2 linked regions of the Struthio camelus genome follow. The protein of the gene in region 2 purifies or fractionates together with the protein of the main gene of each other region. This does not show direct contact. Links are inferred from orthologs where the notes say so. Each region holds a gene or a part of one and is shown on either strand. Other genes may lie near its edges.

Region 1 (7,333 bases), on a different chromosome or scaffold from region 2:
CAGTCATGCAAGAGGCTAAGAAAAAAACAGACCACCTGTTTTCAAAGTGCTCAGTAAGCAGCTCACCATACCAATTCCCTTGCCTGGTCCCATGAACAGTTTTGGAGTAAGCTATGGACTAGACGAAGCATAAGGATGACAACAGCACACTACTGCACTACTGCAGTGCATACATACACCACTACAGTAAACTCCACCACCACTCCTCCACCACCTCTGGTGCATGCTTCCCAAACCACTGGGCTGACTGCGTAGATAGTGGCTCTGAAAAGCACCAGGTATACTGTCTATGCATAAGTCCCTCCTTCTACATAGGCACAGATAACCCACTGCCCCAGAAACCAGAAACACATGATATGCAAGACCTGTCACAAAACAGAGGAAAGGAGTTGGGGGGGGGCGGTAAAGGAAGGAGTCCTAATACATATCTCTCACACAGGAATAAGTGGGCTACACAACCAAAAGTTTAGGTACCAATGGCCTATTCTAAGCATTTGTATCAGTGCTCCAGGTACCTGAAGCACTGATGGGCCTAAGTTTTTTTCTGGTAGAAAGGCATCCAAAATTCATTCAAATTCCAATGTGTGTAGAATTCAATTGTCCTAATTTTGTCCCAAAAGGGTAAAATAACTTCTGGATTTAGAAGAGAAGCTAGTCAGCTCATTTCAGTCCAAGTTCTGTGCCATTCACTTACTTTAATAAGTTTATCATTGAAAAAGGGGCACTGCATCAAGTTTAACCTAACAAGCTACTAACAAGCTACTAACAAGCTACTAACAAGCTACTAACAAGCTACTAACAAGCTACTAACAAGCTACTAACAAGCTACTAACAAGCTACTAACAAGCTACTAACAAGCTACTAACAAGCTACTAACAAGCTACTAACAAGCTACTAACAAGCTACTAACAAGCTACTAACAAGCTACTAACAAGCTACTAACAAGCTACTAACAAGCTACTAACAAGCTACTAACAAGCTACTAACAAGCTACTAACAAGCTACTAACAAGCTACTAACAAGCTACTAACAAGCTACTAACAAGCTACTAACAAGCTACTAACAAGCTACTAACAAGCTACTAACAAGCTACTAACAAGCTACTAACAAGCTACTAACAAGCTACTAACAAGCTACTAACAAGCTACTAACAAGCTACTAACAAGCTACTAACAAGCTACTAACAAGCTACTAACAAGCTACTAACAAGCTACTAACAAGCTACTAACAAGCTACTAACAAGCTACTAACAAGCTACTAACAAGCTACTAACAAGCTACTAACAAGCTACTAACAAGCTACTAACAAGCTACTAACAAGCTACTAACAAGCTACTAACAAGCTACTAACAAGCTACTAACAAGCTACTAACAAGCTAGCTACTTTGTCAGAAAGTACTCACAACTTTGCACACTATCTTAAGCCTCCTAGCTGTTCTCTCTCAGGTTTTATTTCATGACTGAGAGGAAAATTACAAGGAACCTCCATTATCATTAAAAGTTCAAACTCCATTTTTTGGGAGAGGGGTTGTTTGTCATACCTTGCAAGTTTAATGGCCACTTCTACTGTTACTCTAAATTCCTCTCAAAGAATTACAATATGAAACATAAGCATCTTTCCATGGGGTTTCAAAACACAAAATGTGATGCATCAAACCCATCCACCAGCTACAGTGTGCTTGGAGAGAAACTGGGGAAGACACTGCCATACTATCACTCTATCACAACCACTTTCAGAGAGTTTATGGTGGGTTTTTCTGCAAGCAAATGGGGAAGGTTTTGTTCTAAATACCGAAATCCTCGTAAACGTTGACAGTGTAAGTCCCCCTAAATATCTGACGTGTAATGGATGGATATTTTGTATTTTTTCATGTATATGGCAATGACAAACACACTCCAGGACTTCCAACTGCAGTCACTAGCTCCCTCAGGCACTTTCTTAAGTCTTTCTTGATGGCAGACTATCGCTCATCTCATGTAACTGCTGCTGCCAGTCCTTTACGCTGGATACATCTACAATCAGGAAGAAAGCAAAGGCCTCATTCCGGGTGATCCTAGCCAGCAAGCATCCAGCGAAGAGACATGTTGAACTCCAGAAAAAGCGGAGGGGGGGGGGGAGGGAAAAAAAAAATAGTCTTTCCTCAGGGAAGCACGAGTCGCCCAGCCGCTGACTGCATCTCTGGGTCCCCCTGCCAGCGGCGAGCTGCACAGCACACAGGAGTCTCGCCTCGCTCCAGGCGAGCGCCAGACAACAAGGAGCGGGCGCCCGCACAAGGCCACCGCGCGCGGCCGCGCAACACCCCCGGGGCCGCCCCCTTCCCCCCCCCCCCAACCACCACCACCACCACGGGGCCGCCGCCGCCGCCCCCCCCCAACCACCACCACCGCGGGGCCGCCGCTCCGCTGCCCCCCGCCGGCTCCCGGCCGCGCCCCGCCGCCGGCCCCACGTGTTGCCGCGACGCACCCGCCTCCCCTCAGCGCCGGGCCCCGGCAGCGCGGCCTGGCCTAGCCCGGCCCTGCCCCCTCCGCGGGGCGCCGAGGGCGGCGGAGGCACCCGCGGACGTGCGGGGGAGGGGGAAGCGGTTGGGAGAGGTGGGGGGGGGGGAGGGACAGAGGCGCCGTTCCCCGCCGGGGCGCGGCGAGAGCAGCGGCGCCGCCATCCCGCGGGCCGCGAGGGAGCGGCGCGGCCGCCACCACCACCACCGCCCTGGCGGCCTCGCTCCGCCGGGCCGGGCCGGGACCCGCCGCCGCCCGCTCTGCCGCCTCCGCACCCCGCTCCCCCCCCCCCCCCCCCCCGCCGGCGGCAGCGGGCCGGCGCGCCGCCCGGTACCTGCGCGGGGCCGGGGCTCGCCGTGACTCAGGAGCGAGGAGGAGGCGCCGCGCGGCTGGCGGTAAAAAGACCCGAGCTCCCGCCGCTCGCGCTCATATAGAATTAACGTCACCACGTAGCTCTCCTCCTCCTCCTCCCCCCCTCCCCCTCTCCTCCCCCCCCCTCCCGCTCCGCCGCCGCGCGCCCCGGTCTCCTGGCAACGCGCGCGCGCTCACGCTGGCTGGGCGGGTGGCGCGCGCGGCGGCCGTTGGTGGCGGCGGCCGTTGGGGCCTGCCCGGCGCCGGGCCGGGGCGGGCGGGCGAAGCAGCGCGCACGCAAGGCCCCGGGGCGGCGGGCGCTGCCTCCGCCAGCCCCTGCGCGGGGAGGTGTGTTTTTCTCTCACGTATCTCCCGACGGAGTCCTTCTTGCCTGCCGGGCGCCCGCGGGTGAAAGGCAACCGGCCCGCCCCCGAGCACGGACGGCGCCCGGCCGGCAAACCGCTCGCGTTACGCACCGCCGGCCTCGGCGTGGGCCGCGGCATGGCGCGGGCGCCACCTCCTCCCAGGCGGGAGCGTGGCCGGGGTGAAACGTTGCAGGGGGCCAAAGCGTAAAACTGCTCCAAACCCTTCTAGCGCCGGAAAATCCAGCGGCGCGCCTGCTCCCCTCAGAGCATGCCTCCTTCCTCCCGCCGCTTCCCCTCCGACCTAGGAGGGTTTCTGAAGGCACCGGAGTGAAAAATAAGTCTATCAAATAAGTACAGACTTACCCAAACAATTAAACCCTATTCACAAAGACCACAGGTACCAGAAAACCAGGGGATCAGTTCACCTTAAAAGACCAGGCTGAGAACTGTGGTTGTTCAAAAGCTGTTTCATCAGCGCTTCAGTCATTCCTGCTTTGGGCAGGATGGACAGCCAGAAGCAGCGACGGCTCCAGGCCTCTGATTTTGATTTGCCATGCTTGTTTGCCAGAGCCCTAAGGAGGCCTAGTAGTCTCTAGAGACTCCCAACTAATAGTATCTCCTAGCACACTTGGAGAAGACATCCTTAATCTATGCAAGACTTACAGAAACTTAATTGTCTTGGAGACTTTGGAACAGAGCCGATGGCTTCAAACACTATTGGAGACAGTTGGGATGGACAACATACAGCATAAGAGCTGTATGGCATAAGAGCTGTTTTCTAAGGATATATCCTAAGGATGTATATCACTTATGAGATATTTAATGCACAGTCCCTACATTTTTCTTACATCTATTTGTCTAAGGCAGTCTGCGGTCTAAATATAGTTATTTAATAATGGAAATGACAGCAGAAAGTGAAAGAAGAAGAAAAAGTGATGGATCTGCCTAATATCTGCAATGCAATCTATGTTAAAAGCAAGCAATAGCTAAAGGGTCCTAGTCTTCACTATACTGCACCACACCAGTTTTATTCCAGTATATTCTAGTAAAATCTTAGGTCCCAAAAGCAGATGTCTCTATGGTAAAGAAATACCATCTACAAAACACATGTTTAAGCAGAGAAATTAGGGATGTCTTGCTCCCCAAGACATGGAAGTTGGAGAGGTGGGATTATAGTGTGGAATTTAAAATAACTGGAAGCTGCAAATATGAATGGAGACAAAAGAAGAATCCAACCAAAAAGTTTCAAAGCATTGTGCCAGTGATAAGAATTTGGGAGAAACAGGAATGGAAATCTTCTGTGATTCTAAAACAAAATTACTTGTGGCCTCCCTCAGACCTTCAGATTTTAAAATTGTACTAGTTGCTAATTTTATTCACCTGAAGTGTCTGATGCTTGGGAATATGAAGAGACCAGACGACTTTTGCAGACGACTTTTAATAAAAATGAGCAACTGATTGGCATTTGTTGCAAGATCAATTTTATTTTATTGCAGACATTCACTTTATTCAATCAGAAGTAAACAAGTGACACAGCAAGGGTTAGACTCACAAGAATGCTAGCACTGCTTATCTTTATGCAGCCTGCCACCTAGAGAAATGGTGAGACCCGGTGACCCCTGTACAGGAGTGATGCACGTAAGAAATGAGATGGACAGAACTGTTGAGTAGAGAGTTAAGCTAGACAACAGCAAAGGCCAAGGAGTAGGGGATAAGTCTAAACCCTCAAAAGTCCTGGCCACCTATCTCTAGATTGGAGATAAATGCCTTTTCACCCAAAATTCACAGCTTTCTTAGGAGGATTGCATTCATCAAGTAGGTCAACTTCTTCTTATGGGACAAAATAAAAGTGGAGTCCTTATACTAGGGCTCTTCATTAATTTTTGAAGAACATCAAATACGGAAACATTTTTCAAGAAGAAGCAGTTTATGTGAACAGTTAAGCAGGAAGGGATGAGGGGGAGGACATATACACACCACTCCTCCTTCCACATGGCTCCTGCCATCATACATGTATGGAAGAAGGAAAGACAAAAGTATTTCTTACATTACCTGACTTGTGTGCACATGCCAGCTTTCTGGTTTGGGTTGTTCAGCTGTCAAAGCCAACGGTTCACCTCATCCTGACAGTTATGCAATCCTGACAATGGGACTAAAAAAACTTCAGAGTTAGACTTGAGTTGAAATTAATCCTGTGCTTGAACTTTAATGGCCCGTATACTCTTCTTTGCTTTGAACTTTTTATCTTCCTGCATGTTTCCCATGTTTTAGAGCATGCACTGCAGCTTTTAGTTTGAATCTGGCTGGATAGTTGGGAGTATTGCCTTGATATTGCACTGAAAGTCAAAGTAACTTCATTTTCTAAATGATGGGAATCAAATCACCTGAGAATGCATTCCGTATATTCACAGATTTTCCGTATAAGTGTGTATTACTTTTCAAAATATTACATCTTGAAAGGAAACTTTTTTGAAAGCTTTAAAACAAGTGTAAGAAAATGTCCAGGTGTGGCTATTGTTTGCACACAGATATAGTATTTTCTACAAATTGGGAGAGTTTCAGCAAGAGCCGCCAGCAAAGCCACTCTATAGCACAGTAGCTAGGGCAAGTCTCTTGGACAGAGACTCAAGGTCAAATCACTGCTCCAGATCAGACAGAGGAAGAAGGATTTGAACTGCGTCCCTCACATGCTAGCTGTTTACTCCAGCCATGGAGCTATTAAATATCAAGGAGTCTGAACTTTCATCTCTCCCTTAAATATATGGACATTACCAGTTACGCGCACTTTAAAGCTGAGTCTTCCCTCCGCATCACCAGCTTGCACATTTGCTGTAAAGACAGGCTTGAAGCAGGGGCTAGCGCCAGATGGAGACTGTGAGGACGCCCAGGGACTGAGCACAGGCCTAAGCTTGTATGGAGGAGGCCTGAAGAAAGTCAAGCTCTATTGTAGAAGGCGGAGCCACTGTTTCTGTAACAGCCTGTTGCAAAAAATGGGTTTGGGATGACACTCACATCCAAGGTCAGTCTTCCTGAGCACAGCATACATGCTATGTACTTGAGTTATGTTCAGACTACAACCAAGCTAAAGCCACGGGGCTTTAGCTTAGGAAAACGTGTAAGTCATGGAGCTCAGCATGCTTTGTGGCAGGGATTTCTTTGATCGGTAAAGCTGTTTTCATTCCCTTTTATACCAACAGAAAATGCAAAAGGTCCTTAACACGGACCTGGTTTTGATTACATGAAAACCTAAGTGGCTCTTGCAAGGCAGCAGGCACGCTTAGTACCTACTGAAGGGTCAGTTTTACAGGACTCAGGTCCTGGTCAGCACTGCAAAGCTATGATGTATGTAAGGAAGACGATGATCACACCTTCTCCTCCGATCATAGCTGCTTTCAGGTCAGCTCACCCCCAGCAGTTTGCCACAGTCCTGATTGCCTACAGTTACTCTTTTCCTGAGATCGGCTGGCAGTGCTCCTCACATGAGCACTGAGTTATGACGAGGGATGATATGAGTGCTCCTTTTCTGCTTCTGTCTGTAGTAGTTGGCTTAGTTACAATCACCATGGAAGTTATCATCGGTCACTGAAAATGAGAACACCCTCACTGAACTATTTACAAAATAAATAGCCCAAGGTTCCTCAAGTGCCACAAAGAGATGCTTTCTCCTCAGCTCAGTTTGAAACTATGAAGAAATGCTGTGCAGAACTACTAGGTTTACCTGTACACAATGAAAACAATGAATCCTGAATAGTCCCTTTAAAAGACTGCATTGCTTCCTTGTGGCAAAAAGCAATTGTTTCTACATTTACAGAATGATTATTCCAAGTTACACGGCTAGCCAGCGAACGATAACAGTACAGAGCAGTTGTTATTTCTTCCACATATTGTTTACTTTTTGAGGGATAGATTGTTTTTTAAAGGAAAGTACATCATCCCAGAAAGCAAGTCATAGTTTATAAACAGTTCCACAGACAGCATAGAAAGTTCTGCTGAACTGTCACGTGGCAAATCAGGCAAATCCCTATGTAGAACTGAATGAATGACTCTCTCAGATTTCTGTTTTGCACTTGCTTCTGCTTTTGTGAAATGAGAGCAAATTTTCCCTCAGGGAACACATTTTCA
Region 2 (7,484 bases):
AGCTGTTGTAGGGGCTATCACTGCAAATATCTTCTGGCTGAATAGTAAGAACAAAACACTAGTTTTAAATATGGTGAAGTGTTGTTTATTTTTTAATTAGACTACCAGGGAAGTCCCAGAATCTGTAGCATACAGACTATACAGACACTATAGTAAACAACTGCTCCATTTACCTTACGCACAATTCAGAGGTCCTATGTAAGAGTCTATACTGGGGTTCAGTCGGGGGCAGAGGTACCTGCTTTGGGGCAGGGGCACCTTCAGACCCCATTACTGAGGTGTTAAGAACACTTAGAGGAGGCAGTCTGAATAAATCTCCAGTGAACGTTCAGAATGCTAAGCCTAGTTACAACATTTAGGATATTCCTATTAATTAGTTTCTTTCCTCATTCTGCTCTATTATTAGTACAACAATAATCCGAGAGAACATATTACTAATATTTACTACTGTTTCAGTACTATATCCACTGTCAATAGAAAGGCCTTTTTTCTTTCCTGCCCTAGCTAGTTTCATGGAGTTGTTAAATTCTGCAGTGCAGTTTTGCACATGGCTCTTTTTAGAAAATGATAATGTTCCATTTTCTATTTTATCGGAAAAATGCAACTCTTTCCAACCTATTTTTCCTAGTGATTTACCAAAATTTTCTTCTTGAACTTTAGGACATGACTCCTTATCTCATTATCACTGTGTTTAGACATACAAAATACAGTGGATCACACCAGCTTTCTCACAAAACCTCGTGCAAAAATACAACATTATGGTCCCCAAAAACATAATTAGTATAAACTAACCTTGAAAGAGATACATAACAGAAGAATAAAACAAATTTAAAAGTAAAAATAAACTATTTAGTCTTATTTTTCTTATCAAGTTAACACCTTTAAATGGAAGCCATTTTTAATTAGTCTCTCTCCTAAGCCAATAGCTGCATTTCCTTTTGCCTATTAAGGCAACTTAAAGCAAATAATTGAAATAGGGTGCTGGACTCCAACCTTTTTTTTTTTTTTTTTTTTTTTTTAAAAGTCAAATCACTGAACTCAATCATTGACTAAGTCCTGCAACCTGAGCTCAGAGAAGTGCTCCCACCTCCACACACACACACAACCTTGAACACTACTGCTCTTCAAGTTCAAAAAATACGTTTGAGCTCGTTCTGCTACTCCAACTGAATGACCAGTTCATTCAAACTGAAGAAACATATTGTGTGTTGAGGAAATGGGAATTTTGGTTTCTTTTCATTTGTATAAATTGGCAAGAGACACCTACTTCTGCAAGAGTACTCATGCTCATTTCACAGTATAACAGCTGAAAAAATAATACTCTAAATGTTAAGCTATATACTGCATGAACAAACATGGGAGTAGTAGAATATTCTCCTCATTAGGAAAAAGATGTACCAAATTACATGAGTGAGAATCAACTTCCATTTAACAACCTTCTTTGAGGTATAAATGGAAAACAAAATTAAAATCTACTAGTTTAAATCTAATGTTTCTTGCTCACTGACTTCAATCTTGATTAGATTCAACAAATTCAAACCAAACCACCTTGATTTATTTTGGGCCATTTAAATCTCTGTGTTATACAGTCACTTGAAAAACTGTTACCAGTTTGATAGTTGTTTAATTACCTATCGTACACAGCATACTGATGTTCCCAGGCCAAGGTGGCTGCCATCCTCTAAACTTCAGCATAGAAAAGTTGCCTTTTGACTGTTTCTTATTTCAAAGTCCATGCAGGAAATTCCTATTTCCTGATGCAATTCTTCCATCATTTCAGCGCAAAATAGACACAAAATGACAACAACTACGGACAATTTTAAATAACACAAGTTAATTTTACTTTTCAAGCTTTCATTCTTATACATTATGCCATATAACCATGAGCAAGGGATGTTTATCCTTGCACAATAGGGGATAAAAAATTATGAATGTATTTTGAAAGCAAATTAAGTGGAAACTATTGCCAATCATTGTAGCATGCTTGGTGCTAATACTGTTCCCCAAATGACCTGGTAGATGAATGCGGCACTGCATATCTAAAAATTTAGAGCTTAACAAAACATGTTTCAGTTTTATCAGCCTAAGACAGCTTGGTCCAAAAGGTTGAACCAATTAAGCTCCTCACTTTCACTCACCAGATCACACCTCCTAATGACTTTTCTACAATAAAAGTGATACTCTGACATGATTTTTTTTATTTTGGTTTGTTTTCTAAAGAGAGTCAGCTTTTTGCTTCCAAATCATAATATATTAGCAGAAAATAAAACACTTAAGACCAATCAAAAAAGAATTATTGCATACTCTCCTCTAAGCATACAGTTGGACTATGTTTGCCATGGCTCAAGTTCTCAGGAAACGCTTAAAGCACATGTGTTAATGTGCTTTAAATGGCTATAAGAAAAGGGGCTAAGTTGACACACATGAAGTTGGTGAAGACTATTTCCTGTTCTACTCTAGTAAGGATTGTACAAAGAATCTCGAATCTGAAAAGTCAGCCTAAAAAAAATGAATTTCCAATATAACTTGGAGAATACAGCTAGAGAAGTTTTTATTCTGACAAATGAGATGCTACATCTTTGAACATCTAGCAGTTTCAGAGCAAGTCGAGGCTGCAATCAAAACATCCATTAGAGTGCTCCACGTTTCAGAACAAGCAAGCAAGTGGTTGTCAGTGCAGCCAGTAAATCACCTGATCCTATTACAAAATCAATTACTGCAGCACATTTCTATTGCTACACAACCTGATGATGGCAAAATGATATTGGATAGCTACTGCAAGGTCAAGAAAACTGCTAAGAACACCTGAAATCTGTCTTTTTATCACATAAGTTCAAATTATAAAGCATCCTGTTAATGGTATATTTTAATTTTTGAATATAGTTACCTTCTTTGGCTGACTGAGACATTCAATGGACAGTCTCTGCAACTGCTCTGATGTATGGCTGCAAGATAGCAGATCGGAGCAGCAGGTCGAACAGCCCAGCCTCTTCATTAAAGAAGAAATAATGCTGCAGCCACAGCCACACATTGACTTGCTCATCAGACGAGTTTATTCTTAAAGAAATCGGGACAGTCGGCGTCCCGTAAACGCTCAAAACTGCTCAACCGCTTCATTCTGCAGCTCCCTGGCTGAAATTAAGACTGTTGAACTGAAGGAGGAGGGAAGAAGGGGAAAAAAAAAAAAAAAAAAAAAAAGGCACTTGTCCAGGGAGCGTCGGCCCAGCCCATCATCAGCAAGTAAACGCGGGCTTTAAAAAACGTGCACGTTGTGCCCGGGACTCCTCTTTGCGGAGCGCCTCCCCGCTGCCCGCCCGCTGCCCCTCGGGCCGGCCCCGGGGCCACCTCCCACTGCCGCCCCGTGGGCTGCGCTCCCCTCCGGGGCTGCCAGCTCTTAGGGCTCCACCAGTCCAAACGACAGGCGAGAACGTCGAGCCCTGTGAGGCGGCTGGGCTCCGCAAGTGTCTTTTTGCACCACCTTAAAAAAAAGATAAATAAAAAAAATTTTTTTTCTTCTAACTTCAAAAATGGGAAAGCCCTGAAAAAAAGCATGCTGGGGTCTAGCTAGATCCTGAAATAAGAATGGCTGCTAGGAAGCTGTGTGAGCCAGGAGGACATCAGGAAACAACAGCAAAAATGTAAACGGAGGAAGAAACAAGAAGGAAAGAATTTGAAGTAGAATGTCAAAAGGTAACAGAGCCAACTCCCGAGAGAAGTTACAGGGGCGGCTAGCATAAGCAGCTTTGATAAAGTCTTGGAGGAGTCCTTCACTCAGAGAAAAAAGGATCTGGAAGCAGCAGAACTCATTCAAACGAGCAGTCAGACATAAAAAGGCCTTCTAAAAGCAGTATACTCTGGTTGCAATAGTGAATACCTTTCTAACCTAACGCATGCAATTAACTCACTATGAGAAATATCTCATTTTCAGGAGATACTGGTACAATAACCATGTAATTTTTCCTTCCCATATTTAAAAAAAGATGCAAGTAATATTGTAAAAAGCTCATTTTAATTGGTTTAAGACAGTATGCCATACTGCTTCTAAAAGCAGAAGGTCTCACATTAACACAAATGCTTAACCTGATTACAGGATAATCTGACTTGAAATAATTGTCACTTACATTTATAGAGCTATCATGACTTGCCTGGTTCAATAGCATCCTCTTTATCAAAAGGTTAAGAAAAATGCAAGTGACATGAAAGCAGCTTAAATGAATACATTGACAAAAAACTTCTTGTTTTTGCAATGCACTGAAAGCTTAATTTCTCTCCTGCTCCCTCTCCCCTCCCCTTTACTGTTTCTCTCTTCCCCCTCCCTTTCTTTGGTTTAAAGCTCAACTGAGCCTCTCCCTTCACCTTGCTCTGCCCTTTCGATATCCGTGTTTCCATTAAATCAGTTTCCAGTTACATCTATATACGAGCATGCACAACAAATTGAACAATAAAAGAAAGCCTTTGGTAGATAAAGACTAGAGATGCAAACAAGGAAAATAATGCAGTAACCTTTTACTCGCCTGCTGGAGGTACTGTCTGCTGCACAGAATTTTAAATCCTCATCTGCAGATGCAATTGAGCTGGTATTGCCAAGGACTTTGCTCTTCCTGTGCTCATTCTACACAGCTATTCATCGAAAGAGCACATTATATAGGAAATTTAAAGTAATATCAGGTGAAATTACTCAGATGGCTAGAAAGGAGCCAACTTCTAAAAAAATCAGCTATTGCACATTACAGAGATATGTCAGACACATTAGTGAAGAAAGTCTTATTGCTGATGCATGCTTGCCAGCAATGTGCAGGATGTGGAAGCAGAGAGAGCTAATGAAAAAAAATTAATACACAGATTTAAAGTGCAAGGATCATGCTCTTATGCTCAAAACTTCACATATCCTGCATACCACAAAAACCTCTGTTCACAAGCTTCTATTGTTTAGAAAGCTAAGAAAACAGTGGTTAAAAACAACCCTCACATCCCCCCACTTCAAAACCTGGTCTCTCAGTAGACTGCAGATAAGTTCCAATAAAAATATTCATACTGTACACACAGTATTTCTAATAAATGAAAACCCTACCTTTTTCTTTTGGCAGCATACAGTTAAGGATCACGCTATTATATTTCTTAACAAGGGACAGACTAAACAAAAACAGCTGTATTTTGGATAATGGATTTAAGTCTAATCAGGTTACAAAGTACAGTTGTATCTCACTAGAATTTGTATTATTCTTAGCAGAAATGAAATGCCGCCTAAGAATATAATAATAGCAGTAAAGCCTGCTATTCATTATTTATGATTTTTCCCCTCCTCATGTCAGCTTCCTTAATGTACTATTGATTCTAGGATGCATGCAGATAGGGCTTGTGACAGACAAGCCACAGCTGTATAGGCTATCTGCAAAATAAATATTTTTAGGAACATCTAATATTTTTGCTGAACATCTAAGCAATAATACTGCAGAATTTGCGTTTCTATCTACGGACAGTGGAATTTAAGTCCCTCTGATAGTGATGTAGTTCAACAGAGAAGAACAAGCTTTGTTTTTCACCTATAAATGTCCTATAATGCTATTTTAAAAAATGAGAACAGATTTGCTTAAATTTCACATTGCTGTTACCACAATATTTTGTTTCTTCTACTTTTCTAGCATCTGATTCCAGAAAAATTCTCAATACATCGGTACTCCGTCTTTCCTCTGAAGTTAAAATTGGTTGCTATTAGTTTTTTTCATTACTTCCCTATTTCTAAGTGAAATATTACATATGTGATGTTATCCTTTATAGTATTCATTGACAGGACAGAGTCATGCAGACATCATCCTTGGAACTGTTATATTTCAGAACACCAGTTACTTTTACTAGTATATTAACTCTCACTACTTCCACAAACTTGGTCAAATCTGAACTTTAAAAAAAAAAAAAGCAGGATTGCTTATGGTTTCAAAGGAACATTTATCATACTAATAAAGCTTCCTTGTCATAGTCTCCATTACAAGCCACAGCTGTTTTTAAAAAAAAAAAAAAAAAAAAACATAACGGAGAGATGATTTCATGCTGAGCTAAGGCTGTACTCTCTTGTATGCAAAATCTAAATGGGCAAACAGCCAGACACACTCTTAGTTAAAGAGCCTGAACACAGAATGCGGAAAAGACTGTAGACTATGAAAAGCATAAGTAGTAATGAAAAAAAAAAAATGTGCAGAATATATACTTCACTATATTGTTCACAATAATATATATAGAAACAATATATTAACTGTGAAATAAAGCTCCTGAACAAACAAATATATACAACTTCCTTACATCTTTAAGAAATAGCAAGAGAACACCAGAGAGGCTATATGTGTAAAGGGTTTGGAGAGAGAAATTTTCTGCAACAGATGAATGAGTCTTAAACTCTTTGAAAGAGGGTATGAAACAGCAGAGAGCTCTGGCTTGTTTGATGGCCTGGCCAGCTCCCTCCTTTTGCCTGCACAACTATCTAAGTTCCACTGTCTCAGAAAGTAAATCCAACATAACACAGCCATCTAACATTTTACTTTTCAGAATTATCAAAAAATAGCTAATTGATATGTAAGCATACTTCCTTGCACTGAATCAGTCTTCTCAAAGTTGATTCTTAAATTATTGCTAAAAAAAACAGCTAAGCTTTCAATACATAACTAAATTTTAATACAGTCAGACTACACATCTGTTTGTGCAAGACAGAAATTAGCACAGGATAAGAATTTAGGCATTTTTTTTAATTATTTTTCAAGTGAAGATGACAGCAATATGAAGGAAATCCTTCAAACTTAATTAAAAATAATACAACTTAAGAATTTATACTGTCATGAACTATTTTTAAGCTATGTATTTCATCAGAATCCTAAAAACTGCTTGACATACATATATCAAGAGCCCTTTCATATACCAGTATGATAGGCAAATAGATACAAGACAGTTTCTAACTGAAGGTTTACTATGGGTAATAAAAAACTTTAAATAAACGATTCAAGTTGAAGCAGTAAATTGCTTTTAAAAGACGCATCTCCTGCACTCTGAAAAAATCAGAGAGGATTCTAATCTAAAGGTGCCAAATTTTCTTTGGATGTTTGGACTCTCATCTCAAAAACGATAAAAAAACAAAGTAAAACAAAACCGCACTCTTACAAGTTCACTGACCCTACAACAGGGCACTTTCAAAGCAGTTACAGGAAGGAATTCCCAGTTTCAGTAGCGTGATCCAAGACACAATGCAACAGAAGTGGTTTTCAGCTTCACCAGCCTTTCTCAAAACCTTGCTAGTTTTCGTTTTTTATTTGGCCAAGCAGATACATGGGTAATCAAACTCAAACTCATTCTTCCCCCTCCCACAAAAGAGGAGCTACAAACAAGGGTTTCCATTCCAGAACTGCATAATTTGTACAGCCTAGTACAGGGCAAACACTGGTCGTACTTCCTGAGACACCATCTCGTGTCCGACTTCCTTTGCAGATAACAACTTTTCT

The links.
Region 1: the proteins of FBXW7 (region 2) and NAP1L1 purify together in Homo sapiens (affinity purification with mass spectrometry, with the first as the bait; 3 studies listed by BioGRID). This does not show direct contact. The link is inferred for Struthio camelus from reciprocal best matches to the Homo sapiens genes FBXW7 and NAP1L1.

The regions. Positions count from the first base shown.
Region 1 is NC_090942.1:43,445,486-43,452,818, forward strand, and holds the start of NAP1L1 (nucleosome assembly protein 1-like 1), read right to left. Parts: upstream 3,001-7,333; 5' UTR 2,830-3,000; intron 1-2,829. UniProt on the Homo sapiens protein: Histone chaperone that plays a role in the nuclear import of H2A-H2B and nucleosome assembly.
Region 2 is NC_090945.1:38,375,936-38,383,419, forward strand, and holds the start of FBXW7 (F-box/WD repeat-containing protein 7), read right to left. Parts: upstream 3,005-7,484; 5' UTR 2,996-3,004; coding exon 2,888-2,995; intron 1-2,887. UniProt on the Homo sapiens protein: Substrate recognition component of a SCF (SKP1-CUL1-F-box protein) E3 ubiquitin-protein ligase complex which mediates the ubiquitination and subsequent proteasomal degradation of target proteins.